4 linked regions of the Pelodiscus sinensis genome follow. The protein of the gene in region 2 binds, or shares a complex with, the protein of the main gene of each other region. Links are inferred from orthologs where the notes say so. Each region holds a gene or a part of one and is shown on either strand. Other genes may lie near its edges. The genes, in order: TAF6, TAF4, TAF8 and TAF11.

Region 1 (7,944 bases), on a different chromosome or scaffold from region 2:
ACACCCCTCTAGTGACTGGCCCCATCCCCAGCACTACTCTGCATCCATTCTCCCAGCCTTCGAAGCCCCTGGCCCTGCTGCTCTGCTTGGGACTGACCTTTGCCATCCGGAGTACTTGCGCTTTGCCCTTTACCCTTTAGCGTCCCAACCTCCTCCTGCCCTGGCTTCGTGGGCTTCAGCGGCTCTGTGGCCTCAGCTTTCTGCTGCTCCTTGGGGGCTAGAGACACAGCAGGTTCACCAGCCAGCCCCAAAGGCACAGCCCTTTCGCACGGGGATGCAGCCACCTCTGGGGTGGGGCGGCTGGTTATACAAGGACCCCTCGCCCAGCATGGAGATGCAGCCACCTCGGGGATGGAGCGGCTGGTTACACAAGGACCCCTCGCTCAGCGCAGAAATGCAGACACCTCTGGAATGGGGCAGCTGGTTACATAGGGACCCCACATGCAATGCTGAAATGCAGCTATGTCTAGGGCAGGACACAGGACAACATCAAGGGCACTTCTCAGTAGGAAATGCATTATCTTTTGACCAGGCTGCTGGATCAGTCTCTAGTTTCGGGGACCACAGCAGATGGCACTTGGAAAAGCTTGTCAGTCACCCTGCTCTGCAGACCAAGCGCCCAGACAGAACAGACACGCAGGAAGCAGACAACTCAAGTCCCTGTGGGGCACTGCACCTGGACACCTGGCTCCACAACTCACCTGGGGGCGGATTCTCAGGGATGGCGGGCTGAGTGCCTTCGATGCTGAGCCAGTGAGCTGAAAGGGAGCGGAGAGAAGGATCAGGGGCAAGCAGCACTGCAGGCTGGGTGCTGCACCTCCCGTTCCTTGCCCCCACATAATCCTTTGCTCTCCATGCCCCCTCATCCCTGTCTGCCCCATGTTGCCCCCACCTTTGAGGCACACGTCCAGCGGGACACGGGGCAGTGGCGTGTTGATGATGTCGCTCAGATCCACTTCTTTCTCTTCATAGAAGTAGAGCTCGCGCCCGCCCCCACTGGCATAGCGGAAGGGGATGAACTCCTGGGCATGAAAGCCATACAGCGGCTGTGGGGAGAGGGACATAGAGGGTGAGCTGGAGTCCCCATGTCAGAGCCTTCCCTTGGCTCAGCTCCATGGCTCTACCTGCCTTTCGGCACAGCCCCCGTGCTATACATGCCTGGCTCCCAACAGTAAATACAGCCTGGCTCTGTGGCTCTACCTGCCTTTTGGCATGTCCCTTGTGCAATACACACCTGCTGCACCAGGGAGAGGAGCACCATTTTGTCCTTGGGAAAACATATACCTATGCTGGAAATTGTCTCCCTGAATGTTACATGCGCCCTACCATAGTGACCGGCAGGGGGAACCTCCCCCCCCCAAAGCTCAGGGGAGTCTCTGTTCTAGGAATTCAGGCCTTGAAATCCATGAAAAGCCCCTCTGCACTTCAGAACTGTCCTCCCCTCCCCAGCACCAAGCACATGGCCTTACTCAGATGGCCCCCAAGCCCACAGGACTCCAATGCCAGCCAAGAGCCTGCCCCACAAGCTCCTCGGGGCTGGGACTGCCCCTTTTACCTCCACGTTCTTCAGTTTCAAGGCATAGTCCACGTCGCTGGTGGTCAGCTTCCGACGCTTGCCCATGTGCATGAACTTCAGAGCATCCTGCAGGCAAATGGGAAGTGAGGGTTGTCTCACCCCTCTCTGCTCCAAGGACCCTCAGGCAACCAAGGGCAGGAGCAGAGCAACTGGGAGGTGGAGGCATTGGGTGCATGAGGTTCTCCTCGGGCCAGAAACTGGATGGGAGGGTCTTGGGACAGCTGGGGGCCCTGTATACCCGTGTGATTTCCATAACCCACCAACTGCTCAGGACAATGTCCGGGGGCCCACAGCTGGGTGATCTTCCAAAGACAGGGAAGTGAGGCAATGCTAGGGGCAGAGAGTGCCTGTGGGACCCCCTGCCCATACATGGGCAATCTGCTGGAGCCGAGAGGATGTGGCAATGCCAGGGAAGGAAGGGGAGATGCCGTGGACAGAGGAAGATTAATAAGACTGGGGCATGTCACCTTACAAAAGAGGAGACTAAAGAGGGATATGATGGACGTGTATAAAATCACAACCAGTGTGGACAAAGTAAATAAGGGAAATTATTTACTTGTTCCCATAGCACAAGAACTAGGGGTCATCAAATGAAATCAATTGTTAGCAGAATTAAAGCAAACCAAAGGAAGTAGTTTGTCACACAGCCAACCTGTGGAACTCCTTGATGGAGGATGTTGTGAAGACCAGGATTTTAACTGGGTTCAAAAGAGAGCTAGATACGTTCACGGGGGTTCTGTCCATTAATAGCTATTAGCCAGGATGGGTGGGAGTGGCTATCCTAGTCTGTCAGAGGCTGGGAATGGGCAGCGGGGAGGGATCCCTGTTCCGGTCACTCCCCTCTGCCGAGGACGGGGTGCCCGTACCTGGGTGATCTCCTTGACGCGGTAGCTGACCTCGTCGGCCAGCAGCTGGCAGGTCTCCTCGGGCACCTGGGCGATGCCCACGGCCTCTGCCATCACCTTCATGGACTCGGCCGGCAGCAGCGTGTGGCTCAGCTTCGCCTTCTTCTCCTCGGCCGCCATCGCGCCCCGCCGCACCTGCGGGGAGGGGGGTGAGACACGGGCCGGGGCGGCGGAACCTCCCGCCACTGCGCGGCCCGGACCCCAAGGGCCCCATCCCCCACCTGGCTGGCCCCGCCCCTTTCCCTAGCCCCTCCCCTAACTCCCGCCCCCCACCGTGCCGGCGCCCCTCCCTCTCCCGGCAGCTGCACGCCCGCGCTGCGGCGCAACCTCCTCGCCCCCGCTACATTCCCCCACCGATCCCGGTGCCGCGCTACACCCCTGCCAGGACCCGAGCACCTCCGAGGGGCGGGGCCAGCCCTGGAGACCGGCAGGCGGGCAGGGACGCACTGCGCAGGCGCGGGATGGGGCGCGGGAGGAGGACAGTGCCTGTGTGCGTGGTGCCTCACAGCTAGGACGGCGCCTGCGTGCCGCGCATGGATTCCTTTCTACCAAGCATGTGCAACATGGCCAAGTGCGGAAAACATGCGCGCTAGCGCCCCAGCCTTTGGTTGATGACGCGCATGAGCAGTCCAGATCCCTTTTTTTTTAGAGGCACGCCACATCCCCACGCATGCGTCGCTCTCCCGCTTGCTGCGCTCTGCGAGGCGCCTACTGCTCATGCTTCATCCCCTCCCTCCCCTTCCCCCCTTAAAGGGCCACCGCGGCTATTAGCAGCCTTAGCCTAGGACTGGTGCGGGGCTACGCGGCTCCCCCTGCTGGGGCTGCAGCTGAGGAGGAGGAAAGGCGAGCCACCCCCTGCGAAGGTAATGGGGGCGCGTCTCTTAAAGGGGCCATGGCCTGTGTGGGGAGGTGAGTGGAACTGCTAGGGACTGGGGTTCAGGCCAGCTGTGCTTTGCAAGCTAAGATGGGGAAGGGAGCCATGGTCTCCTGAGATATCCACGTGGTCTGTATGGGGCTGAAAGAACCAGGCCAGAGGTGGGGACACAGCCTCAGTGTAGAAATGGCAGCCGTCACTAGCAGATCCATATGGGCTATATAGGAACTGGGGGTGGGGGACAGGGCATGGGGCATTGCATGGGCAGCTGCTAACCACCTGGCAGTATGTAAGTACCTCGGAGGTGCTGGAACTGGGGCAATCAGAAGAGGCACATCAAATACAATATGTTGTAAGTGTAGGTGCTAGGGTCCGGGATTCCTGGGTTCTCTCCCTGATTCTAGGAGGGAAATGGGGCCGGGGAGCATTGAAGGGGAGGAGTTGGTGTCCTGAACACCTGGGTTCTCCAAGCCCTTTGCATGTCATAGGTTGCATGGCACATGCCCAAAAACCCAGTTTCCTTTTCCCCACAAACTCTAGAATTTCTCTTTGACCAACTTCCAAAAGCAAATCTTCCCTTTGATAATGAAAGGCTGAAAATTTCCATCCACAAACCTTTAGCTTATTGTTTTTAGACCAAACCAGGACAAATTCTCCCTTTGCACAAACCCTTGCAGATTTGGGGCCATTTTGCCTGGGAACTGACCTTGATGGTAAAGTGCTGCTGGCTGAAAAGATGCCCTTCCCCCACTCTTAAAATCTTAAATGAGCCGAAATGTTCCATAGAATCTCTATGGCTAGTAATTCCATGCTCCAATAATAAGAATGTGGCAGTAGGGATATATTATTGACCACTTGATTAGGACAGTGGTATTGAAATTAGAGAGGGTATCAAAAAACTCAATAATAGTGGGGGATTTAAACTATCTCCATCTTGACTGGGGACACGACACTTCAGGATGGGATCCAGAGATCAAATTTATTGATATCTTAAATGACTGTTTATTTGAGCAGCTGGTTTCAGAACCCACAAGGGGAGAAGCTATTCTTGATTTAGCCCTAAGTGGAGAGCAGGATCTGGTTCAAGAGGTAAATATAACTGGACTGCTTGGAAATAGTGACCATAATGTAATCAAATGTAACATCCCTGTGGTGGGGAAAACACCTCAGTAGCCCAGCATTGTAGCATTTAATTTCAGAAAGGGGAAATATACAAAAATGAAGATAGTTAAACAAAATTTTTAAAAGGTACAGTGACAAAAGTAAAATCTGTGCAAGCTGCATGGAAACTTTTCAAAGACACCATCATAGAGACCCAACTTAAATGTATACCCCAAATTAAAAAACACAGTAAAAGAACAAAAAAGTGCCACTGTGGCTTTACTGGGTAAAAGCAGCAGTGACAGATAAAAAGACACCTTTTTAAAAGTGGAAGTCAAATCCTAGTGAGGAAAATAGAAAGGAGCATAAACTTTGTCAAATTAAGTGTAAAAATATAATTAAAAAAGCCAGAAGGGAGTTTGAAGAACAGCTAGCCAAAAACTCAAAAAGTAATAGCAGAATGTTTTTAAGTACATCAGAAGTAGGAAGCCGGCTAAACAACCAGTGGGGCCCTGGGACGATTGAGATGCTAAAGGAGTACTCAAAGATGATCAACTTATTGCAGAGAAGCTAAATCAATTCTTTGCTTCAGTCTTCATGGTTGAGGATACTGGGGAGATTCTCAAATCTCAGCCATTCTTTTTAGTTGACAAATATGAAGAATTGTCCCAAATTGAGGACAATTATTAGAGGAGGTTTTGGAACAAACTGATAAACTTAACAGTAACAAGTCACCAGGACCAGATGGCATTCACCCAAGAGTTCTGAAAGAACTCAAATTGGAAATTGCAGAACTATTAACTGTGGTTTGTAACCTATCCTTTAAATCAGCTTATGTACCTAATGACTGGAAGATAGCTAACATGACACCAATATTTAAAAGGGCTCTAGAGGTGATCCTAATAATTACAGACTGGTAAGTCTAACATCAGTACTGGGCAAATTAGTTGAAACTATAGTAAACAATAAAATTGTCAGACATATAGATGAACATAATTTGTTGGGGAAAAGGCAACGTGGTTTCTGTAAAGCAGGAGTACTCAATTTTGGAAGCCCTGGGGACCATAATGATACAGCACATGCCAAGGGCTGCATCTTAAGTGTAGTTGCTTATACATGCAAATAGCTTCTTTCACACTGGCAGGCATGTATGCAATGATTAAGCCTTAAGCTGCAGCACCGGAACCAAATGTGGCCAGTGTGAGCCAGTCAGCACCTCTCAGGCTCTGCCCACAAGGGTAAGCAACCATTAATTTCCACAATGCCCTGGCATTCCCCGCATCTCCTCTCTGGAGGCTTAGAAACGCCAACACCCTGTACCCATCTGTTTTGCCAGCCTGTCCACTTGCATCTTTCAGTGCTCACCCTGCCTGAGAACGCCTCACCGTTGTCGAGTGTGTTCCCAGGCCATGTTCAAAGGATCCCACCCGCGGGCCTCGTGTTGAGCCCCATGTAAACCCAAACCACACCACGGGCCACAAATGGGCTGTGAGCCACATGCGGCCGCAGCCCTGCTGTAAAGGGAAATCACGCCTTATTAATCTACTTGAGTTCTTTGAGGGGGTCAACAAACATGTGGACAAGGGGGATCCAGTGTACTTAGATTTCCAGAAAGCCTTTGACAAGGTCCCTCACCAAAAGCTCTAAAGCAAAGTAAGTTGTCATAGGATGTAGTGGAGCCTGGACTACCTTGCCTAGAAAATAAATGGTGATGTCTTACTTGTCCCCGGTTCATATCTCTAAAAAGCAAAACCCAGGCCTGTCTCAAGTCTGGTTCACACAGGAAAGGTTTGGGAGGTAGGAATGTTTTGAATAACAATGCAGATTAAGTGTGGTACAGTGAGACCACACAAAAAGCAACCTTATATTGGTACTTCTGTTTCTGATAAGCAAAAATTACAGATACAGTCATACAACTGTCAACCACACACATAACAGCAACATCCTGAGAAGGACGTGCTGCAAATAGGGCATTGGAAAGTCTTGCTATGCTATAAAATGGGCTTAGTAAGAACAATCAATGGGCAGGATTGACCCACAGATCTTGCTTAATGTAGCTAGAAGTAAGTAGGCCCTTCTCACCAGCACCCCAGTGCATGGCTTTCCATTGCATGGGAATTAAAGGACCTTCCCAGTGCATGGGAATCAACCAAGACCTCCTGCCTGGTACTATAGGTAGCATATGGGTGAAGTGTAAGTGAACTAGGCTTTATTATAGTAGATTTTTTTTTTATTAATTGCTTTTGCATTGCTTTGAGCTCTATTAATTGCTTTAGTATCTATAGTATTTAAGGTTTAAATTATATAGTAATTGTTTTTAAGGCTTATAAAACTTAAACAAATGTATTAACTGCTTCAAGCTTGTAATAAATGAGAAAGTGGTTAAGTCTCCCTAGAGTGTCCTGGTTTCCCTTGGATCGAAAATATATCGAACTACACGACATGAGATAAGAGGAAATGTCCTTTCATGGATTGATACTGGTTAAAAGATAGGAAACAAAGGGCAGGAATAAACTATAAGTTTTCCGAATGGCGAGAGGTAAATAGTGAGATTCCCCAAGGGTCTGTCCTGGGACCCATCCTATTCAACTTATTTATAAATGATCTAAAGAAAAGGGTAAACAGTGAGGTGGCAAAATTTGTAGATGATACCAAACTGCTCAAGATAGTTAAGACCAAAGCAGTCTGTGAAGATTTTAAAAAGCTCTCAACAAACTAAGTGACTGGGCAACAAAATGGCAAATAAAATGTAATGTTGACAAATGTAAAGTAATGCACACTGGAAAAAATAATCCCAACTAGATGTACAACGTGATGGGCACTAATTTAGCTACAACTACTCGAGAGAGAGATCTTGAAGTCATTGTGAATAGTTCTCTGAAAACATCCAGTGGCTAGGTCTAGACTACTAGGCTACAAAGCAATTAATATCGCTGTGCCTCATTTGCATGCCTTATGAACCGCCATTTTTGCACAAGGGGCTTTTGTGCAAGAAGAAGCTGTCTACACTGCTCCTTGTGTAAAAACCCCCTCTTGCACAAAGCCGTTCTGCTGCTTATTTTCAGGCAGAACAGCTCTTGCGCAAGAGGGGGTTTTTGCATAAGAAGCAGCAGTGTAAACTGCTTCTTCTTGCGCAAAATGGAGGTTCATTAGATATCCAAATGAGGCACGACGATATTCATCGCCCTGCCTCATTTGCATATATTCTTGTGCAAGAATGCGCAATGTAGATGTAGCCCAAGGTTTTGTCTTGTCTTGATTCTTTTGTCAAAAGAGGCTTTTCCGACATTTGGCCCGTCTAGACTGGGCCAAATGTCAGAAAAAACCCTCTCTTTCGGAAGCCCCTTTCTTCCTCGTGGAAGGAGGAATACAGGGGCTTCCGAAAGCGCATTTGCACTTCCGCAAAAAAAAAGCGGAAGTGCAAACGCATTCCCTGGACACAGCAGGGTTTTCTCAGGATACCTCCGGTATCCTCAAAAGAACCCAGT
Region 2 (7,450 bases):
AACTCCAGAGCCCACAGTGACTGCAGCAACAGCAGGAAAACTCCCTACACCCACACTGATGGCTGAATTGATCACAGTATTGCTCCCATTCTGAGTGGCTGCAGCAGCTGCAGCAACCGTGGGTCCTGCTGTGTGAATTGGTGGTCTCACCAGTGCTACAGTAGGCCCCGCACCTACAATGCTTGGTGACGGCTGTGAAGAGATTACTGTGGGGGATGGGGATGAGGTGGAGGACACAGCGGTGCTGAGGAAAGAAGTCTGGATGACAGTGTTAGAAGCTGAAGGCAAAACAGCATTAACTGTATTTCCTTTCCCCACAGATCCAGGTCCATTGTTAACTAGAGGGGCAACAGTAGGTGCAGCAGCAGGATTAGCAGTTGCAGGAGTCCCAGAGAAAGTAGCACTTCCCGAATGGTGAGAGTTCATCACCACATTACTCCCATTCAAAGTCTGCACCGTTGTGGTCCCAATTTTGCCATTCCTGGTGGATAAGGCAGTTGCCATTGTACTGATAACCACAGATTTGCCCTGACTGAGGGTCCCTGGAGCAGCAGCAGCTTCAGATCCGCCTCCTCCTGCTGCTGCAGCAGTGGTGGTGCTGGTTGTAGTGGCTCCATCCAGAGCTGAACTCTGGGACCTGGTGTTATGATTAATAACACCCCCTTGCACTCCTCCAGCCCCTGAAACAACAAGAAGAAGGTTCAATGGAGAGAATGTGCAGGAGGTGAAAACAAAAGGTAGAGGGAGTGTGTTTCTCCACCCTCCCAATTCTTCTTTACCCCCTCGCCCCCACGTCCTCCATACTGTCTGGAATGAGACAAGAAAAAAAATGGGCTGAAAATACAAATTATCTTTTTCTGGGTAGAGAGGTTACCATGAAGCCCTTCTATGCCCCATATTCACACCTGGCAGCAGTGATATTAGATATAGCCACCCCTTGAACCAACTATAACAAGAAAAAGAGGACAGACAGACATACAACAGGACAGATCTGGACAATAAAAGAGCTGGGATACATCTTTATCCTAAACTTTCTTCTCTCCCACATTTCAGGGCCTGACATTACGTTTAACAACTTCCTTTACATTCCAGTTAATGAATTTAGAGAAAAAATGTTTTAAAAGATGCGGAGGGAGGGGAAAAAAAGTCTTCCCTGTGCCCTCTACACCTTGCACACTTTACCCCCCAATTCTTTCATGTCCTGTAGAGGAACCTAGTAGTTCCATGCAGTTAAACTAGTACAATAATGTAAAAAATAGGGGATGAAAACTGTCAGTGTGACAAAGAAAAAGTTGCCAAAAGAGGACTTTGTTCACACCAGGGCCTGTGCTGTTGTAATTCTGCTCCTCAAGCTCCCACAATCAAAGACAAATATGGGGAGAAAACAGACTCAGGCACTGAGGACACTACAATGTGCCCTCCTACTCTAAGACCTCCTCATCCCATTTTAATGAGGTCTGGTATCACAATTAACACCAGACTTGGCAGTCCAGGTCCTGAATTAAGGAGAGAGAAATGAGAAGGGAGCTGTCACAGATAACCCTTATAATATGAGTGTCTCAATAGCTAAGAGGACCCTCCTGCAAAATCCTCATTACCGATCTGCTATTATTAATATAAGCATCCTCTTACATTTCAGCAACAAGAAGCAGAAAATAGTAGGGGGGGGACATAAAACAGATAGATACTGGGCAGATAAGAATATTTTTCTCTTTCCTAAAAACAACCTCCCACCCACTCTCATAAAGTGAGACTTAATATTGTGATTAACATCATCCTCTTAAAACAAAGCTCCTCCATCAAGCAGAAAACATTCACAGGTAACATATGGAGAAGCCCATCTGAGGAGGATAGGGATTGTGCCCTCAGTCGTCCCGTCCCCCCCATCCAAGGACCTTATGTTGCCATGACACCCCCTTGAGGGAGAACGAGGAATGAAATGTGTTGAATACCCCCTCCAAACTCCTAATACAAGAGGGGTTATGGGGAATACCCAGACAGATATGAGGGGGGAGGCATTTTAGGGGCTTCTTCCCCTTGAAATCCCTCCTCACTTCCTCCTATACAGGAAATGGGTGTCATGATTAATAACACCCCTTTGCACTTCAGCAACAGAGAAGGGGGAAGGGAAGGAGCACCCAAACAGAAATTGGAAGGCCCTATTAATTGGGAATCCCCCCAATAAAACCAATCAACATACACCAGCAACAGGGAAGGCAGAGGAATATTCAGACAAACTGAGGGAAAAATCATCATCAGAGGGGTAGTTTGCCCCCATTAGTTCCCCTCCTTGACTCCTCTGATTAATAGCACCCGTTTACCCTCCAGCAACAACAGGAGAAAAAGAAAAGGGACTGATAACCCATCAGTGTCTTGTTTATGGCTCTCTTAAGGGGGTGCAGTACCCCTATATAGCAAGAAACACCTCCTCTACACCCCAGGAACGAGGAGGAAGAGGGGCACAGTCAGACATATACTAAAGGGCCTGGTGTATGGGGGGGTATCTCCCCAATATGATTTATACCGCCCCTTGCACTCCAGCTCTTGCCACAACAACGAGGAGGAGAGAGGGAAAAGGGGGGAAAGCAGTAAGGGAGGGAGGCAGTCAGAGCTTGGGAGTGGGGGGAGGGGAGGCCCCTTTCCCAGAGAGCCCCCCACCCCGGCCCAGGTTACCTGCTTTTGTGATCTCTGGGGCACTGAGTCCCATCTTGCTGCTGCTGCTGCTCTCTGTTTGGACATTAGCATTGCCTCCTACTACTACTCCTCCAGGGCTAGGGCTAGGGCTGCTGCTGCTGCTACTGCTGCTCACAACATGGTTCCCCAGCAGCCCCCCAGCGGTCCTGAGGGGCTCCTGCGCCTTGTGGTGCTGGTGGTGATGGCCGGAGGCCGCCAGCTGGGACTCGAGGGAGCCCACCAGGTCGCTCACCACCTTCTCATCCACCTCCGTGTTCAGGAAAACCTCATCCAGCAGATCCGAGCCCGCCGCCATCTTTTTTTTGGAGGGTTCCTGTGAGCTGCTCCCTCCTCCCCCTTCCACTCCTCCCTCCCGCCCCCCCCACACACGCTGCCCTCTCACGGCGCAGGCGCACGGGAGCCGGCTCACATCACCGGCCGGAGAGGGATTCCGCTGGCTGGTGATTGGCCGCCAGCCGCCTATAAAAGCCCGGGCAAATGGCTGCGAAGGTTTAGTTGGGAGTCGGGCGGCGGCGGCCCGGACGCGAAGCTGCAGGAGCAGCGGGGGCTGAAGGTGGTGGGGGGGGGGGGGACGGTGGCGGCTGGACGGGGGGAGGGCAGGGCGGTGAGGCTGGTTCGTGCCGCGGGGCGAGACGAGGGGTGCGCGGGCGGGGGCGGGCGGCTCTTTGTCCGCCTGCGCTCAAGATGGCTGCATGTCTCCCTGCTGCTCGCTGCGTCTGGCCCGTGTCGCCAGAGCGAGTCTGAAGGGCGCCCCACACCTGTGCCAACTGCGTGTAACTGATCCACCGGGAAGGGGGGGGGGGGAGACGCGGCCGCAGGCCCCACGCCCAGCCTCGGGAGGGGGCTGAGCCCCCGGCCGGGCAGCCTTGTCTCCCGGGTTGGAAAGCGAGCTGCAGGGCGAGGAGCCGGCTGGCGGGGCTGTGCTGCGGCGCCCCACACAAGCAGCCACCCTCCCCCCGCCGCGTCCGGTGGCCCGCGGGCAGTGAGTGCCGCTGCTCCGCGGGGACTTCAAACGCCTTTCTCGGCTCGCGCCGAGCGGCTGCGGGAGCTCCCTGGGACAGAGCGAAGGAGGCTGCAGGGGGAAGATCCGGGAGGGGAAGGCGCCACTAATCTGTGTGCACGGCAAGGTGCTGTCGAGCTTCCCTGAACGTGAATTTAGGAAACTGACTCAGCGGTCTGGGGGTGGGCAGGCCCTGCCACCAGACAGGCTATAATAAATGAGCGCGGTGAATGCGTATACAAGGGGGAGGGGATTGGGGTGCTTGGATTAAAGTCCTGGGGAAAAAATGGGAGGTGGCTGAGCTGAAATGAAAGCTTAACAGAAAGGCGGGATGGAAGGAGGGAGGAGATTTTAGCCGAATATCTACTGCTAAACATCTTGTCCACGACTTCAGCCTTTCAGAGGAAATTAAAGCATTGAGTCCAGAACAGCTACAGTTTAACAGAGAATGGACTGTTGTATTCAAAATCACCGCCAGAGAAATGCATTCTTCTTAAATTCCATTTTGAACAGTACTACAGAGGTTAGTACCCATTTAGTTTGTAAAACCAAAGGTGCTTAGAGGAGACAGTAGTCTTTAGCAATACAAGTAATCTGCTTCTTGATCACTAATCTTACACAGATTCTAGATAGAAATTGAACTTGAACATTGTGTCATCTTAAGAAAGGAAGTTCAGGTATGGTAAAAATGCAGCCTGTCCTTTAATAGTGAAACTATTTACTAAGCACTACCTTCAAAGTCCAGAATAACATTAATTGCAAGATGAAAATTTCTTCTGCAGTGTACAGTGACTCTTATGCTACCACTAAGTAAAGGTCTACAGTAGGCAAGTTAAGGTTGTAACCACTTGTTTAAACGTTATAAATCTAAAATTATAAGTTTGCCTTACCTCTGTTTTGTTGGTCACTTGAGCTGGCTAGCACTTAATGTTGAAATGTTTGTTGCAGTAGGAGCAGACTAAGATCCTGTGTAGCTTGTTATCACTTAGCAGTGTGTGGCCCTTCAGGTCCTAATGAGTGTCACTGACAAGTCTCCATTTTTGCAGCCCAGAGTGATTCATTTCCTCCAAAGCTTCTTTACTTCAACTAGACTAGAGACAAAGTATTCTACTATACTTATTAGGGTATCTTTAGTTTCTGCATTCTACATCTGTTCTAATCCATGTAACCATCACTTCAGTTACATTGAGTCTTTCAAGCAATGTTGAGTTGTAAGAAGGAAAATAGTGCAGAAAACCTTGTGTATTTTAGTCACAAATGCCCCACCCTAAAAGTCAGCTGGTCAGTCTATAAAGTGGTAGTCAGCTATCCAAATTCATGTGAAGGGAAGACATTAGAAAATTGCCTTGCTCCTCAACACGTTTGCAGCTAATATTTTCCTTAAGAGGTATTGGATTCCTACGAATACATTGCTTTATGGTTATAAAGTCTTCCAAAATAAGAGATGCCAATTTTGCCCCATTCATAGATAGATCTCTCCATGCTGTGGTTTTTATTCTTCCCTCCAAAGCACCCCTATTAGCATTCTAATATCTTACACAATGTTTGAGTCGCTTTAGACATTGCAATATATTAATCCCTATGTCTGAATTCCCCTGGACAAACATGTCAATTAATTAGCCTTTATAATGAATAATATATTTTCTATCCTTGTTTTCAGTGATATAACCTATAACGTCACCTTGAAAGGAGTAAAGAAAGGACCTCTTTCTTCACAAATCTCCCAAGATCTATTTCTAATCCGTATCAATATTGAACAGAACAAATGTTGTGTCCTAAAAATAAGTGTTCTGAGGGCTTGTTGCTCAATTCCAGTAATGATGTGGCCAGAGAGCTTTCCTTTAAGTGCCTCTTCTACCAGCCAATGGCACCTTCTGCTGCTGCTGTAGGTAGGCATACCTCTATCATTACAAGCATTAATAATTTCCAATTCAGTTAACTAAAAAGACACAGGAAATCTTGAGTAGAGGTCCAAGTACATCCCTGAAGTGGGATAGAGGGTAGTTTACAGGTGCTGCCAGGATGGTTCCAAAGACTTAGAGCAGCAAAGGTAGCCAAAAGCTATTCTTTCTTCCCCTTTCCCTAGCTGGGAACAGCAGAGCCTCAGGTTGAGGACATAATGGAAAAGAGTGAAAGTGAACAATGGAAGGGAGAATGGGGGTAAGGGAGAAGAGGTTAAGTAAAGGCAGAATTAAAACAGCAAGAGGGAGTGATGGAATCACTAATTGGCAGTATTATGGGCAGGCAGCAACTAGGGAGGAGCAGATGACATCTTAAGGGCATGAAGAGTTAGCAGGACTCTACATTCTTCTGCTGATGATGACTTTAAGGTATTTAGCAGGGCTGGCCCAGAACATTTTGGCACCTTAGATGGGGAGCTCAAATGATGCCCCACATCCCCCTTGCTTAGGCCAAAATTTAAAAAGGTCTCTTGTGCCCTCCAGCACAGCACTCTACTGTCTCTGTGCATCTAGAGCAGAGAGAATACATATGCACCAGCAGCAGACACAGTTTTCTATGCTCTGGCTATGTCTACACTTGCAGCTTCTTGTGTGAGAAATAAGCAAATGAGGCTGCATGGAATACTGCTGAGCCATATTTGCATACCTAATGAGCTGACATTTTGCAGAAGAGGCTCTTGTGCCAGAAGGAGCTGTCTACACTACCCCTACTTGCACAAGAAAAACCCTCTTGCACAATGCTGTTATTCCTGAAAATGGTGCAATGGCATTGTGCAAGATGGTTTTTCTTGTGCAAGAAGGGGCAGTGTAGACAGCTCCTTCTGGTGCAAGAGCTTCTTCTGCAAAAATGGCAGCTCATTAGGTATACAAATGAGGCTCAGTGATATTCCATGATATTCCATGCTTAGCCTCATTTGCATATTTCTCATGCAAGAAGCTGAGTATAGACATAGCCTCTGGGTCCTAGTGGTGTGGGCTGCCCCCCCTCTTTCCCCCAGCACAGTCTGGCACCTGAAGTGACTGCCTCAGTTCACCTGATGGCAGGGCTGGTCCTGGCATTTAGAACCTAGTTTATGGTCACATGGGTCCAGATACATGAAAGATATGGTGCCCAAGTTTTTGACCCCACAAAATTAATGTCAAACCATGTAAGCACTTAAGTTTTCAAAGTAAAAGTTCCTTAGGCCTCTGTGTTGGTGTCTGTAGGCTTACACAGAGGTGTCTTCCTCTTGACATCTGTGTGCTTCTTTCCTCGCTAACCATTAAAAGGATTCATGAAGCAAGGGAAGATAAGCGTTTGCTTAGGGTGTTCACCAGGGCCTCAGTAGACATGCTCAGAGACTGTTAACCAGAATGGTTCCCATTCAAAAATCGAACCATAGGAGGAGGTACTGCTCATCTGAATATTTAGCCTAGTGATGTGTATTGGACCAGCTCTGGCAAAAAGGAGGGACTTGAACTAGGATGTCCAACAGCCTATGCAAGTGGTCTAACTACTAGGCTAAAAGTTAAAATGGGAAATGCATGTGTACACCCTCTCCAGCTATTATATGCAAAGTAAAGCTAGCACATAACTCCTCTGAAGAAGCAATTTATTTCAACCAACAGATTCTCATTTGAGGATTGCTAAGCAGATGCTTCTCCTGCAGCCTGGAATTAATGCCCTTCCCAGAGAGGAGCACACCCCCTCTCTGGTCAGCATCTCTCATTACCTAACTTAGGCAGTTCCTCAGTGGAATAGCTTTTGTGGATCTTGTTTTTAGGTGTCTGTGCACTCATTGTTGCTGGAACTAGA
Region 3 (7,477 bases), on a different chromosome or scaffold from region 2:
ACCCATTACAAAGATAGCTTCCCCAATTATCACCTCTAATATCATTAGCTCACAGACATTTACCTCCCCTCCCCCCATTCTGAAATTTGATTTGTCTTTTTTAGATGTGTTCACTTTTTTTGATTATATCCCTTTGGTATATATGGTCATGCCAATTTTCTTCCACAATTTGATCTGAGGAAGTGAGTCTGGCCCACGAAAACTCATTACCTAATAAACCATCTTATTAGTCTTTAAAGTGCTACATAGTCCTGTTTTTTGTTTCAGCATTAACTACTCCAGTGATTTGTCAAGCATGTTAACATTATAGCAACATGGCTATATCATAGGTACCCATTTTTATTTCCACTGAGAATACCTGATTTTAACACCATCATATTTTATTTCAAAAACTACTCTGGCCCCTAAAATCTCTACTTTTTTAGTTGAAATAGTTGCATCTGTCATAAAGATACTTACAGCTCTGTAACATCTCTGTCAGGGTTTCCACTGCTGCCTTTTCAGCGCTCTCAAACCCAGCCTCTGTCAGCAAGGAGCTGACAACAACCTGCAAAGTTCTTCTCCGAGACAAGTAATAGTTATCTGCAGGGGTTGTTGAGTGTTTGCCTCCTGATCTCTGTAGAAACAGACCACAGGAAAAACAAAAAACAAAACAAAAACAGAGGACTATTGAAGACCAGGATGTCAACAATGGTTTTCAAGAGGTGAAAGACAATACCACTTGATTACACACATAGGTTACGTCTACACTGGCATGATTTTCCCAAAATGCTTTTAACGGAAAAGTTTTCTGTTAAAAGCATTTTCAGAAAAGCGCGTCTAGATTGGCAGGATGCTTTTCCGCAAAAGCACTTTTTGCGGAAAAGCGTCCGTGGCCAATCTAGACGCAGTTTTCTGCAAAAAAGCCCCGACTGCCATTTTCGCGATAGGGGCTTTTTTTGCGGAAACAGTACTGTGCTGTCTACACTGGCCATTTTGCGCAAAAGTCTTTCGGAAAAAGACTTTTGCCTGAACGGGAGCAGCATAGTATTTCCGGAAAAGCACTGACAATCTTACATGAGATAGTCAGTGCTTTTCCGGAAATTCAAGCGGACAGTGTAGACAGCTGGCAAGTTTTTCCGCAAAAGCAGATGATTTTGCGGAAAAACTTGCCAGTCTAGACACAGCCATAGAGTACAAAAGGATGCTATGAAAGAGTCTACTACTAGTTTGTAGAACCTCAGCTCTGCCAACATCACATAAGCCCTGACTTAAATACCCCTCCTATGCCAATGTGGCAAAAGAACAGATTGGAAAAAAGTATTAGGAAAACACACTGATTCTGCTGTAGTATCACACAAGTCACCAAATGGGATGGAAGTGGAATAAGACTCTCAGTTCTGGAACAATTCAGAGGGCTTCAGGGGCAGAACTGTGAGCAAGTTACAAGTGGAACATTAACAAGACAGTGTGGTGTAATGGTTACAGCAAGAGACAAGGTGATAGGCCTCCGCCTCTGCCTTGATTTATCAAATAGTTATTGTTTGTTTTCTCTCTCCTTCACTATTTTCTTGTCTTCTCAGATTGCAGGTTCCTTGAGCTAGAGACAAAGTGTTGTACATTAGGAAAGTACTTAGCACATTCTGGCTGCTACTGAAAGCCAAATAAATAATAGAAATGAATTAGAAGTAATGAGCAACAGCACATCCTAGCTGATCCAGCAGCAGCTGTGGGTTTGCAATGCCTCTGAAAAGCAGCCCATTCACCTCTGCATACCTCAGTTACCCTGCTTGGTAAAACAGTGATAATACAATACTGCCATAACACTTCCTGTCTCTCTAGCACCTAATCTCAGGGAGGATCTCAAAGATGAAGGAGCCTCCCTTTTGCATGGGAGCATGTGCTTACCCTGCTCGTGCACACGGGCAAAGAGAGGCACAGGGAGGGACACAGATGAGGCCTTAACTAGGGATGTGAACAACTAGTCAACTAATCGACTATCCGATAAGCAAATGCTTATCGGATAGTTGACATGCTAGTCAACTAGTCACTTCCCCTCCCTTTGCGGCACTTATCAGAAAGAGGCAGCTGGGGGGGGGGGGAGGAACAGTGCTTCAAAGTGGCAGCACCAGGGCTCCACGCAGCACTGCCTATTTGAAACACTGTGTGCAGCCCAGCGTCAGCTGGGGTCTAGACTGCTGCTTTGAAACAGTTGGATGTTAGGAAAAACGTCCTGCCTGCCAGGGTGATTAAGCACTAAAATAAATTGCCTAGGGAGGTTGTGGAATCTCCATCCCTGGGGATATTTAAGAGCAGGTTGGACAGACGCCTGTCAGGGATGGTCCAGATGGGGCTTGGTCCTGCCGTGAGGGCGGGGGACTGGACTTGACCTCTCGCGGTCCCTTCCCGTTCTAGTGTGCTGTGACTCTAGGACCGTATTCCGCCTGTACCCGGAGCACGGCGCCTGGAGCTAACCCAGGCGAGCTGGTGCCCAGGCCCCACGTGCCCCCTCCTCTGTTCCACCCCATGCCTAGCGTGGGCACCCCACCCCAGTGCCAGGCTCTGCCAGAGCAACGGGGCCCCGCCCCTGGGCTAAGCCCTGCCAGGGCACGAGATGCTCTGGGGCTCAGGGCCCCTCATACACTGTCCCTTTAAGATGCTCCCACCTGCGTGCTCCCTCAAACTCCTTCCGATTGGCAGGAATCGCCGTCAATCAGAAGCACTAAAGGCACTTCGGCCAATCCAAAGCCCACCCCAAACCCCGCCTACTCCAGCAGACCAGCCAATCAGCGCCCCGCGCTCTTCGGCCCAGTAGGCCCCGAAGCCGCTCAGCCGGGCCGCAGCCGCCTCAGCTCGTGTCGGAGAAGCCGCTTCCCCGGCCCCCTTGACCCCTGCGCTGGCCGCTCCGCAGGGAACTTATCCCCCGCGGGGTGTCCGCCGTTACCGTGCCCGAGCTGCTCGAGCCGCTGGACGCCGTGTCCGCCATCTTGAATCCATGGGCGACGACGCGCATGCGTGGCCGCGCGGGGCATTATGGGACTTGTAGTCCTGAAGAGAGGCTGGGGCAGCCTGCTCCAGGGAGAGCCCATTGGCATGGGGGTTGTGATGGGGAAGCTGGGGTTGAGCATGGACTTGCAGGAGGAGGCCTAGGGGGAGCTGCCTGCCTGAGTCTGGTTAGAGCCTGAAACAGTTCCAAGAAGAGTGAATTGCAAGGCCCAGTGACTTACAGCCAGGGTATCACTGTTAACTATTCCAGGGCTCATGGAGGGACCAGCATCAAAGTTCAGATCTGCTGCCCCGTCTCATTTGGCTGTCAACTCCGGAGTCTTAGGGGGTGGAATTTGCAAGAGCATCTTTAATTTATTTTTCCTGCCCAAGCCTGGCCGGCCTCCAGAAGACAGGGCTTTGTGTGAGACTGGCCCAGCGCATGACTGAAAAATTCTTCTCTCCATTGCTTCTCCCAAGAAGCAGTTTGTCAGATTGCTGTGTCCCCAAGATCTACCCCCAAATGTGTTAAAGAGCCACTCAGTCTGTATGCTAGCCAATGGCACAAGGGCTGCCAGACAATGTTCCCTCTAATCTTTCCCATTCACGTGTGGATTTTTTCTGTCCAAGTGCAGAACAAATTTTCTGTGTGCACCGAAGCCCATAGAAACTATGGGCACTCTGCTAATCAGCTGGGCAGCATTTGAATCTCTCCGGAGTGGCCGCACAAACACACAGCTTACAGGGAGCACTGCTGCTAGAAAGTGGTACGGTGCAAGAGATGAGGTGCCTGCCTACACAAAGAAACTATCTATTCTCCCTAACTGCAGTCCAATTGAAAGGACGCTCATGAAAAAAGAGCTCTATGCTTTTGTGAGATAAGGGGTCAATAGTTGAGTTGTCCTTCAGAGAAGGAACCTGGTATGTTAGGTTGTAAAGAACTGACATTGCTGTTAGCCCTGTTAATGCCAATCCAGGACTTATTTCACCCTAGCTAATCATTTCATTTCTTTACCACTTTGGCGACCACAATACAATGTCTGACGTTTACTCAGAACCCTTCATCTTAAAGGATCCAAATGCAATTGCAAACTTAGATACAGGGATCTCCTCACCCATCACTGAAATTCAACCGCTGCAGGGCTGGGACCTGTCTGGACACTGTATCCAGTTGAAATTGCAGGGGGGAATTATGGTACTGTAGATGAGAGCATTATTACTTGAATTTAGAATTTCCCCATGCCACCCTGTCATTATGAAAAGTGCTATGGGGTATGATGGCTATTTAGAGTCAAGACCTAAGTCTCTGCCAAAAATACAATGCTTCTGAGTTTGTATCCAACAAATGGAAAATTTGAATGTACAAAAATGTCTCTTGTCAAGCTCATATGAAAACCTAAATCACTTGGGTTGCGTGAAATATTCTTCAGGTTGTTTCTCAGTACGCAGTGCTTCTTGAGCAAGCTTCAATTTCCCTTTTAGGGTGTTCAGCTCTTGTGATCAAATCTTTGGTGAAGTCGGTTGTGTGCTTCAGAAACTATAGAACAGGAAGCCCCCCTCCTACAGCTCCCACCTCTTGTTTCCTGTGTAACTACATATGCGTGGGGAGAGAAAGCATCTTAGGAACCAATAACCATATTGCAAAAAAAGAAATGTAAACAACAGCTGCCACGCTGGAAATTAAAGGTCCTGATCTCGGTCAATTCAGATTGCAATGCAGCTTCCACGTAGCGCTGTTTTTTTCAGCAGCGATGGTAGCGAAAACAGCAACCCATGGAAAAAGAAGGGGGTGGAGGAGAGGAGAGACTGGATTGTTGAAAGGAAACGTGCCCCGTGAAGCTAATTTATTCATCATCAACAAAGGTAGGAGGCAATTTAGTTGTATTTTCATGGTAAATTGTAGATTGAAAAGGTGAAAGAGAAAGAGAGAGAGATCATGTCATAAGCAACAAAGGAAGAGGAAAAATTAGTTCCCAAGAGGTTGGTTGAACATAAGAATCTTGAAGACACTTCAGAGTAGGTGCTTTAGAGGGAGTGATTGTTTATTGGAAGTAGATCTTAGTGCCGGGTTCATTGTGTGTGTGTATATATATATAGCCACTTGTTGTGCAGTACCCTACAAACCTGTGACACAGTAACTTCTGTAGCCCCAGGCCAGTGTGTGTTTTTTTGCCAGACCTGCTGGAATGGAGGTGTAGAAGATTTTTTGCCTATTGGTGAGCTAAGAGATGTCTGTGTCTTCTTGCAAAAGACATGGTGTGATTTTCACCGATGTCGAGTTCCTGCATCTTGTAACTGGAGTTGCAGTGGCTCAGTACTTCTGAGAAGCAGGACTTGTGGGAAGAACAAGTGCTAGTGAAATCCACGGGTTAACCCTTGGCATGGATCTGATCCAGTTTAGGTGAAAAGGGGAAGGAGCGCTTCAGGTAATCAGGCTTGAAAACCTCAACTCACTGCTATTGCCTGAAGCTAAATTACGGGGCCAGACTTAGACAGCAATATTTATAAAAATAATAGCTGACTCTCAAACCAAGATGCAATATGTATGCATACCTAGTATCTACCACTAGCACTGCGCACCTGAATTCATATATGCACCTTGGCTTATGTGATTCTTAACATGGCATGTCTGAATCCATAATTGTAGCTTGACATACCCGATAGCAATTCATAACATGGAACAGCTGGTACCAGCTGCAAAGTGGCATACCTGAATCCATAGCAAGAAAGTGACACAACTCTGTGGTGCCCTGATGTTAATTCACTGCGTGTCATGTATCTGCCAAGCTTGGGATACCATGATGTGAAACCCAGGGTAGGAATGGATGTGAAATGTGAATATGGTGATGGCTGAGAGAACATATCAGCATCAAGCACCACACCAGAGCAGTGAACAGTGGTGCATTTATGCTGTGTAACTACATCAACAGTCTCTAAGTCGAGGCAAGAGAGCCTATGAAAAAGAGTTCAACTTCTCCTTACCCTTAGAGCATGAGGACCAAAAACTCAGGCATTCAACTGGAGCACTTGTGAGGGATAAGCAGGTGGTAGCACAGTACGTAGTGAGGGAGTATTATCTAGTAGTTAGAGCCTAGGACATATTTCCACCTCTGTCACTCATTCACTTGGGGTGCATCTACTCTTAGCTCAAAATAAGCTACGCAATTTGAGCTACACAAATTGCATAGTTTATTTCGAGTGTATTTCGAGATAGCACCAAATTATGAAATAAACTATCTACACAGCACCAAATTTCAAAGTAATCCTTGTGGAATGAGGTTTACAGGGATGTTGGAATAGCATGCCCATTATTTTGAAAGATATTTTGAAATAATGGGCATGCTGTCAAGACGTGGAATAGCTATTTCGGGATACCGGAAGTATCCCGAAATAGTGCCACAGTGTGCACGTACCCCTGGTGACTTTAGGCACGGGACTGTTGTGTATGAGCTTCACAGAATCATAGAATTATAGGGCTGGAAGAGACCTCAAGGGGTCATCAAGTCCAGCTGCCTGCCCAAAGCAGGACCAACCCCAACTAAATCATCCCAGCCAGGGCTTTGTCAAGCCGGGACTTAAAAACCTCCAGGGATGGAGATTCTACCCCCTCCCTAGGGAACCCATCCCAGTGCTTCCCCACCCGCCTAGAGAAATAGTTTTTCCTAATAGCCAACCTAGACTTCCCCCACGGCAACTTGAGACCATTGCTCCTTGTTCTGCCATCTGTCACCACTGAGAACAGCCTCTCTCCATCCTCTCTGGAACCTCCCTTCAGGAAGTTGAAGGCTGCTATCAAATCCCCCCTCATTCTTCTCTTCTGCAGACTAAATAAGCCCAAATCCCTCAGCCTCTTGTCACCCAGTCCTCCAATTTGTCTAGGGCACTCCCCATTTGTGCAACTGGAAGTATGACAATATCATCTCCCCACCTGTGTTAATAACACCTGTGTGGTACAAGGTGTGATACCAACACAAAGTGTTATTATTCTTGTTGTTATTGCTATTTGTATTATTATCTCAGGCCCTGGAATGTTCTCCAATTGATCTCCTCAGGACTGGAAATGAGCCTTCCTGTTGTTTGAAATATCGAGTATTTCAGAGGGCTCTGATAAATGGGAACTTTAGGGCTTCAGCAGACCCTGTGACACATTAATTGGCAGACTGAGCTGTGAGTCTTGTACAACAAGCAGAGAGAAGGGTTAAGGCTCTGTTTAGGTGGCGCATCACTAAAATCAGTTGTAAATGTCTTTGCCCACCCTTAGTAAGGACCCCTTTTATCTCTTTGACAAGCACAGGGGAAATCACTTCATACCTGTTTGGTTTGGGGTCCCCAACAAACTCTGTGTCACAAAACAAAAACAATCTCCTTTCAAAAAAAGCGGAGAAGAGAGTCTCCACTATAACATTTTTAAAATTCCATACCTATAACCCAGAGTGGCACTTGATAATCATGTCCATTGTCTCTTCCATCAAAGAATCGCCACACACTTTTCAAATATCAGTAAACAAAAAGA
Region 4 (7,285 bases), on a different chromosome or scaffold from region 2:
TGATAAATTAGTCAAACTTAACTAGCCAAATAACCACATTGTTCAAGCCAACTGACCACATTCAATCAGCCAAATAGCCACATGTGGCTAGTGTGTTGGACACCAAAGAGTTAACTAATTAAAGGGGGGAGGCTGCTCTAGCCCAATTTGAGCGCGCGCATGTGTGCGTGCGCACTCACACTCTCTCTCTCTGCTGGATTGTAGCACCCAGCCCCATCACAGGCAGGGGCTGCACCAGCTGTGCCCTGTTTGCAACCTCTGTCTGCTTCAATCAGGACCTCAGGAGCAGCCCCTGTCAGCAACAGGCCCCCTGTCCGTCTGGAGCAGGCACCTGCTGGTTAACCAGTTAAATAGTCACATCCCTAATATACAGAGATGGAAAGAACCTATTGGATCACTACATCCATCCCTCTCCAGTTGCCACATGAAAGAAAGCTCATCTCAAATAGAGATACTGTGAGGCAGTGGTTCTCAAACTTTTTGGCCCGCGACCCACCCTGCTCAATGTAAATCTGCGGACCACAAGCCAAATGCCTCTAATGACAAAATGATTCATTTCAGAGTTATACAGATGCTAAGACAAAGGTCTAAGCTGTTGAAACTACATGATTTCACTTCAAAAGCTTTTTTCTCTGCTTTTATAGTGATCTTTACACAATATATTCTTAGGAATATTTCCCCCCACTTTTACAATATTCCTCTTCTACTCACCTTCTTCTACCACCTCCCCAACGAAGACTTTGGAAATCCCTGACATAGCAATAACCACATTCTGAGACACAGATGTACCAGTAATGGACTGGACCAGCTTGAAACAAAAGAAAATGTAATTCAGTTTTGCAGGTGAAGACTTTAAGAAACACTTAGTCTAAGCATGGGAAATACTGAGCAGTAACTACTGAAGTCAACACAAGTGGACTTCAGTGCTCAACACCTATTCCATAGTTGAAAACTTGTGCACTCAAACTGTGACCTAATCTATAATGATGTTTTATGCACTTACTTTTATACGTACCAAGCTGGATATGTTCCTCTGTGGACTGACTATTTGCAAAAACTTACCCGTTTAATAGCAGCCTTGGGGAAAGCAGACCGGCGGTACATCTCATAGCGATTCAGCTGCTCTTCAGAAAAGGAAGAAACCAAAATTCTGGAAGGAGGAAACAGGTCAGTTATGAGAGAACACAGGTGGACTTATTTTCATCTTAAAAAGCATTTTGAAAAGTTACCCAAATCTACATATGGTCTGTTACTACAGCGTGCCACTTTAGCCCTAAATACTTTATTAAGCATAAGACACACCACTAAAAGGAGGGGGTAGATTGTGCCCTAATTATCTAACACACAAGGTTGAGACAGATGAATTGTTTTGGTTTACAAGCTTGACTTAGATCTTCCTTTATGAAGGCAAAAATCAGAAAGACAACCTATTAAGGAATAGTCTCCAATGTTAGGCTTAAAATAATGACATGGCATATTACATACTACTGTACTTTTCATTTACATCAGCAAGCTCTGTACAGTAAATTGGGTGAGTTAAACTCAGTCTGATGAGCAAATTGTCATAAAATAAAATCCCGTACAGGGATGTTAAATATGGGTTAACTGAATAGTCGATTAACCTCATGAATTCTTATTGATTACTCAACTATTCTATAATCCACAAGGGTGAGGCCTGCAGCCAATGTAATCCAGCCCCACTCCCGAGGACCCCCTTGCCACTCCGTGCTGCGGTGTAAGGTGGGAGCTGGTCCATGAGGGGAGGGTTTAAAAACCAGCTCCCCTTGCAGACCTGCTGCCCCATGCTGCTGCCTCTAATATACAGGCAGCAGTGCAGAATAGCAGCTGGGGAAGGGAGGTGGGGGGGACTCAGCTCCTGGATGCAGTATGAGCCTGAACAGAGCTGGGCTGCCTGCCCCTCTGGCTCCTAATACTCATTAAATGCAGAGCTGCAGCAGGGGTACATCCTGGACCTGGCACAAGCCCAGACTGAGTCATGCTGCAGGCCAGCCTGCTAAAAAAATGAAGGGATGTGTGCATGTAGTCTACAGCATTAACTTATAAGCAAAAGTTTCTAGGTTAATCAACATCCCATATCCTATAACCAAACTTGATGTCAAATGGGTTAGAAATAACAGGGTGCACGCACTGCATTTTCTGAATCTCGTCTTCATCTACTTTGTGCTTCTTCTCTTTCTTCTCTTTCATCTCTAGTTTTATCTTCTTGGCTGCCGCCAATGCAGGATCCTCTGCTTCTGCTGAGCCCAATTCCAAGCTTTCTTGGCTATTCACCTGCCGCAAGAGAGAACAATTAGCGGGGTGAGGTCTGTTGGTTCCAAACGACCCATGTCCGTCCATGGTGGCCTGTGCGCAGTACTAGGAAGCACCCCCAGAGCAGGATGATAAATATTACACCCTACACGCTTTCACCTAGCAGCCTACTGTTTGGTTAGCGGCGCATGAGCCTAGAGGGGCGGGGGACTGGGGGGGGGGTGGAAGCGACTAGTCGACTACGGGATAATCTCAGGCTTGTTGGGTGGCCTAGTCCCTGCTCAACTAGTCGCTTCCCCCCCTTTGCTGCCTCACTAGAGGCACCAAGGGGGGAGCAGGAGCGGGGGGGGGCAGACAGGGGGGAATCGGGCTGCTGCCAGGAGGGGGGAGGGGCGCCACTTCCTCTTCGCGCTCTGCCCGGGAGGGGGGGGGCACGGCGTGATGACGTCACGCGGCCGCCGCAGGAATCTCTCTGTGGTGACCCGCCCCGCGCCCCTCACCTCCCCCGCCGGCCCGTCCGCCGCGGGCTCGCTGCCCCCGCCCGGCTCGGCCGCCTCCCCCGCGGGGGTCTCGGCCGCAGCCGGCGGTTCCGCGGGAGCCGCCCCCAGCCCCGGCGGCGACGCGGGCGGCGGGAAAGCCTCCTGGGGAGGGCCCGAGTCCCCGCTCTCCTCGCGGCCGGGCTGCGCGGCGTCCGCCATCGCCTGGGCGGAGGCCGCGCGCGCCGATGAGGTCATCGCGACGGCTCGGCGGGGTGTGTGTGTGGGGGGGGGGGGGCGCGCCCGAGCTCTGCCGCTTGCGGGCGAGTTCTGTTTCCATGGCAACGCGACAGCCCTCGGGGAGCGGGGCGCGGGGCGGGGGAATGGTGTGAGAGTGGGGGCGGGGCCTGGGGTTGGAGTGGGGGAGGGGCGGCCGACTATGGTTAGAGCAGTGGCAAGGAAGGGGGGGGGGGCACAGACCAGGGGGAGCAGTGGGTGTTGGAGGAGGGAGCGCTGGGTAAGGTGGGCATGGAGTGGGGACTCGGGAGTACAGAGCAGATGGGGAGCATTGGGGTGAATGAAGCAAGATCCCTCGTGCCTAGGCCCTGGGGGTACCCACAGGATTATCACAGGACTTTATAATCCTTAATGCAAATAAATGTTTCTCATTAAGGTCCTATAATGAGTTGTTTGCTGACTCTGTTTCTTTGATGAAGGAAACCAATTGGGGAGGCGAAAGCAGAGGTGATAATTTTCTGCATTGTTGCTTTCTAATTGGCCAGCACAGCACGCTAAGATGTTATCATCATTAGGATAATGGTTAGGCTGGGAGACGGAGGAGTCAGGAGTCCTGAGTTGTTTCCAGCTCCGCTCTTGGTCAGTATGCGAGTTTTGACATGTCAGTGAACGTCTTTGTGGCTCAGTTTGCCTGTCTGTAAAATGGGTACTATTTACATTCTTCATAGGGCTATGGTGAAGATTAATTCATGTTTGTGAAGGGCTTGAGATCCTTGACTGAAAAGTGCTAAAGGTTTGAGATTTTATTATTTTCGGGGCCACAGCTGATTACATCATTCTCCTGCAGTACTACACATACATGCTGTTCTTTTTCTGTGTAGTCAAGACTATTAGGATGATGTAACTGATGAAATCCTGACCGAAACTCTTACTCTGGAGGGATGGGATAAGCTTAGCATACAGGTCTAGGAATGAGGCCTTTCACATCCTAAAGTTCTGCCAACTTCTTTCCCAAATCTGCATTACAGTGTAGTGCCACCAGTCAGTGTTCATTCTCAGCTCAGAAGTGGCACTCCCCTGCCTGCAAATGCTCCATGAACACTACCAAGTACGTTGAATTATTTTTGCTATGTCGTGAAGCAATGTGTCAAAGAAATCCTCCTGTCCCCAGTTGTGGTGGTGGTACTTTCTGAGGGTCTGCAAATACAGGACACTTGTGCACTGTGTATGTGCAATTTCCATGACAATAGTGCAAAGCCCTAGGTGCTTCATGCTTTTGTGTGAGATAGCAGATACCAAAATACTTCATGTAGGTTTGTGGTGTATTTAAAAAAAGTGAAAATTATGGCATTGTAAGATGGAGAAAGTTGCATGCTGGGAAGTTGACCCCTCGCTTCCAGAGGTGTCTGGATGAGCCATTGCTATACTGCAAAACCTTGGAAAAATGTCCCAAAAGGCATTGTAGTGTCTTCATGTCACTCTGAGGTACCTAACTGTAGTGTAGTGTATTTTACATCAACACAAGCACTCCTGGTATATATGCAGTGCTGACAGGAGCAGCCATATGCATTCACCTAAGTGATATATAACTTTTTGCATGTGTATGCTCACATAATTTGTATCAATCAATGTTTGTAGCAGGGACTATCATATGTTTACACTATGGAAACTATACCAGCATATCTATATTCCGATTCAGTGCTATTCTTTTCCAGTAATTCGTGCTGTAATCCTACGTCAGCATTATTTATGTTCCACTGTATGTGACTTGAAGAAGAATCCTTTCATTGAACAAACAGAAATCACTAAGGAGAAGTTAATTCTACGTCTTTAATACATTAAGGTAGTTTAAAAGATCCACTGAACTAATGAGGATAATCTACATCTTCAATCATTCTAGTCCCATTTTTTGCACAATAGCAATGAATGAGAGATGTCATTTGTATTTCACGATAATAGCAGCACACTACCTACTTAAACGTCTGGTTCAGTCAGAAGCTTTTCCTGTATGAATCTCATTATGCTGACAAATGTCAGGTATCTGTTTGCCAAGTAAAATTCAAGCCTTCTTTCTTGAGAGTATTAACTCTTTCCTGTTTTATAAAAGGTGAGTCTCTTAGTTGCCTTATGATTATTACTGAATATTAATCCATAAAGAAAACACTTTAAAATACATGCGGGAAAGATGGTGTGATGGGAACATTATGCTGGCCAGGAGGGGTTAATAAACTGCAGTGTCTCTAACCCCACACCATGACACCTAATTGATTTGAAGCCAGGAAGGAGGAGTTAAAAGAAAGGAGCACAGAAGTGGGCTGTGCCCATGAAAGCTTGTGATACCATCTACATGTTTTGTTAGTCTATAAAGTGCTACCAGACCATTTGTTGTTTTTTTTCTGTAACAGACTAACTTGGCTACCTTCTGAAGCAGCTAAATTGGGGGTTGACTAGGGTGATAGTTAGGTTGTGAGGGAAGAGTAGTTGGGGGTAGGAATCACTGGAGACTTGTGATAGCACTTAAGAGATACACCACCCCCTAGCATCCCTGTCAGAATTTCAGTTGCTAAATGAGGTGCCCCTTCCTGCCCTCTCCCTCTTTCTCTGCTGGTCCTCCCTCCCCCAGGCACAAGTTGCCTATCTTAAGAATTAATTGAAGGTTATGGTCTGCTATATAGCCTTCTTATGGAAGGGCATACCTAACACAGACTGTTAGGGTGCATCTAGACAGCACCCTTTTGTTGGAATAAGCTACACAATTTGCAGTATGCAAATTGTGTAGCTTATTCCCAGTCTAGGTTGAAACAGCTTATTTTGAAATTTGGCACCGTGTAGACCATGCCAAATTTCAAAATAAGTCATTATTCTGACAAATCCCTTAACCCTCGTGGAATAAGGGTTACAGTGATGCCGGAATAGCGTGCCCGCTGTTTTGGGAAATGGTGGGAGTGTTTAAAGATGTGGCGTTACTATTTTGAGATTTTTCTGGTATCCCATAATAGCATCGCAGTCTAGACGTACCCTTAGGCTGTGTCTAGACTAGCCAGTTTTTCCGGAAAATCAGCCGCTTTTCCGGAAAAGCTTGCCAGCTGTCTACACTGGCTGCTTGAATTTCCGCAAAAGCACCGACTTCTTACTGTAAGAAATCAGTGCTTTTTGCGGAAATACTATGCTGCTCCCATTCGGGCAAAAGTCCCTTTTGCGCAAAACTTTTGCGCAAAAGGGCCAGTGAAGACAGCTGAGATTTGTTTTCCTCAAAAAAGCCCTGATCGCGAAGAAGGCTATCGGGGCTTTTTTGCGCAAAAGCGCGTCTAGATTGGCCACGGACGCTTTTCTACAAAAAGTGCTATTGCGGAAAAGCATCCGTGCCAATCTAGACGCACTTTCCGAAAATGCTTTTAACAGAAAACTTTTCAAAAACATGAGGCAGCATGTTCTTTTAAAAAAGAAACGTGATTTTTAGGGTTAATGGAAGGTGCTAGCTTTATGCTCTGGAGGCTTCTGTTTATATGCAAAGCAGCTATAGTCTGAGCAGCATCATTCTACTTTATCACCCATATTGCCCTGCTGCTTTGTGTCTCTAATCTGAATTCAGGGGTGCCTTGTGGGTTTGGAAGGGTACCGTTTCTGTTGATAACACTGCCAAAAAGCCATTTGCCCTAGTGGTAGGATTTTGCCCTACCAAATCACATTACATTTGCAAAATACTAACTGGATTATTGGGTCAAACTTGATGTATAATGCTTCTTGTGGGGTAGGAGGCTGAGGGGTTAACACATGGATATCACTGGAGGCTGCCTCTTACATGTGTCTTAGATTATACGTAAACAGGCTCATCTGCTTCCATTTTATTCATTACAGGACAAGCAACCAGAGCATTATTCTTCCCTTTTATTAATATATGCAAATGTCATCCTGTCCCCCTTTGTACCCTCTTTCAGTCATGAAGCAGGAGATCTGAGACCAGGCATTCCCTCTGATGGGAAGGTGGAGCATTGGACACTACCTCTGGCACATGGGTTTGAGGACCAGGCAAGATGAATACTGCAGAAGTACAGGAATTTTGGATCCTGCCTTTGGTTAGGATGGCACTGAGACAGGCAGATGCTGGGGAACTGCTACATTTCCCTCTTTAAACAGTGGATTTAACACATGTATGAATCCCTATAAAGGCCCTCAGGGATTTTGGAGGATTAATTGAAAGACTCGGGTGCTCTTCCATGTCAAATGGCACTTTCCCTCTTTCTTTGAAGAAGGGCTAAGTGGATGGTGAGTATTTCATGGGTCCAGTTGCAGGATAGGAC

Evidence for each region.
Region 1: TAF4 (region 2) and TAF6 share a complex: the UniProt entries of both Homo sapiens proteins name them as parts of the TFIID basal transcription factor complex. The link is inferred for Pelodiscus sinensis from reciprocal best matches to the Homo sapiens genes TAF4 and TAF6.
Region 3: TAF4 (region 2) and TAF8 share a complex: the UniProt entries of both Homo sapiens proteins name them as parts of the TFIID basal transcription factor complex. The link is inferred for Pelodiscus sinensis from reciprocal best matches to the Homo sapiens genes TAF4 and TAF8.
Region 4: TAF4 (region 2) and TAF11 share a complex: the UniProt entries of both Homo sapiens proteins name them as parts of the TFIID basal transcription factor complex. The link is inferred for Pelodiscus sinensis from reciprocal best matches to the Homo sapiens genes TAF4 and TAF11.

The regions. Positions count from the first base shown.
Region 1 is NC_134734.1:7,576,507-7,584,450, reverse strand, and holds the start of TAF6 (transcription initiation factor TFIID subunit 6), read right to left. Parts: upstream 3,008-7,944; 5' UTR 2,878-3,007; exon of another isoform or gene 2,836-2,877; intron 2,732-2,835; exon of another isoform or gene 2,617-2,731; 5' UTR 2,602-2,616; coding exon 2,443-2,601; intron 1,643-2,442; coding exon 1,556-1,642; intron 1,047-1,555; coding exon 893-1,046; intron 759-892; coding exon 702-758; intron 218-701; coding exon 98-217; intron 1-97. UniProt on the Homo sapiens protein: The TFIID basal transcription factor complex plays a major role in the initiation of RNA polymerase II (Pol II)-dependent transcription.
Region 2 is NC_134728.1:9,457,670-9,465,119, reverse strand, and holds the start of TAF4 (transcription initiation factor TFIID subunit 4), read right to left. Parts: upstream 3,015-7,450; 5' UTR 2,990-3,014; coding exon 2,674-2,989; intron 681-2,673; coding exon 1-680. UniProt on the Homo sapiens protein: The TFIID basal transcription factor complex plays a major role in the initiation of RNA polymerase II (Pol II)-dependent transcription.
Region 3 is NC_134737.1:9,412,276-9,419,752, forward strand, and holds the start of TAF8 (transcription initiation factor TFIID subunit 8), read right to left. Parts: upstream 3,013-7,477; 5' UTR 2,993-3,012; coding exon 2,924-2,992; intron 2,918-2,923; exon of another isoform or gene 2,646-2,917; intron 617-2,645; coding exon 460-616; intron 1-459. UniProt on the Homo sapiens protein: The TFIID basal transcription factor complex plays a major role in the initiation of RNA polymerase II (Pol II)-dependent transcription.
Region 4 is NC_134737.1:11,874,061-11,881,345, forward strand, and holds the start of TAF11 (transcription initiation factor TFIID subunit 11), read right to left. Parts: upstream 3,018-7,285; 5' UTR 3,006-3,017; coding exon 2,772-3,005; intron 2,293-2,771; coding exon 2,150-2,292; intron 1,151-2,149; coding exon 1,063-1,150; intron 809-1,062; coding exon 712-808; intron 1-711. UniProt on the Homo sapiens protein: The TFIID basal transcription factor complex plays a major role in the initiation of RNA polymerase II (Pol II)-dependent transcription.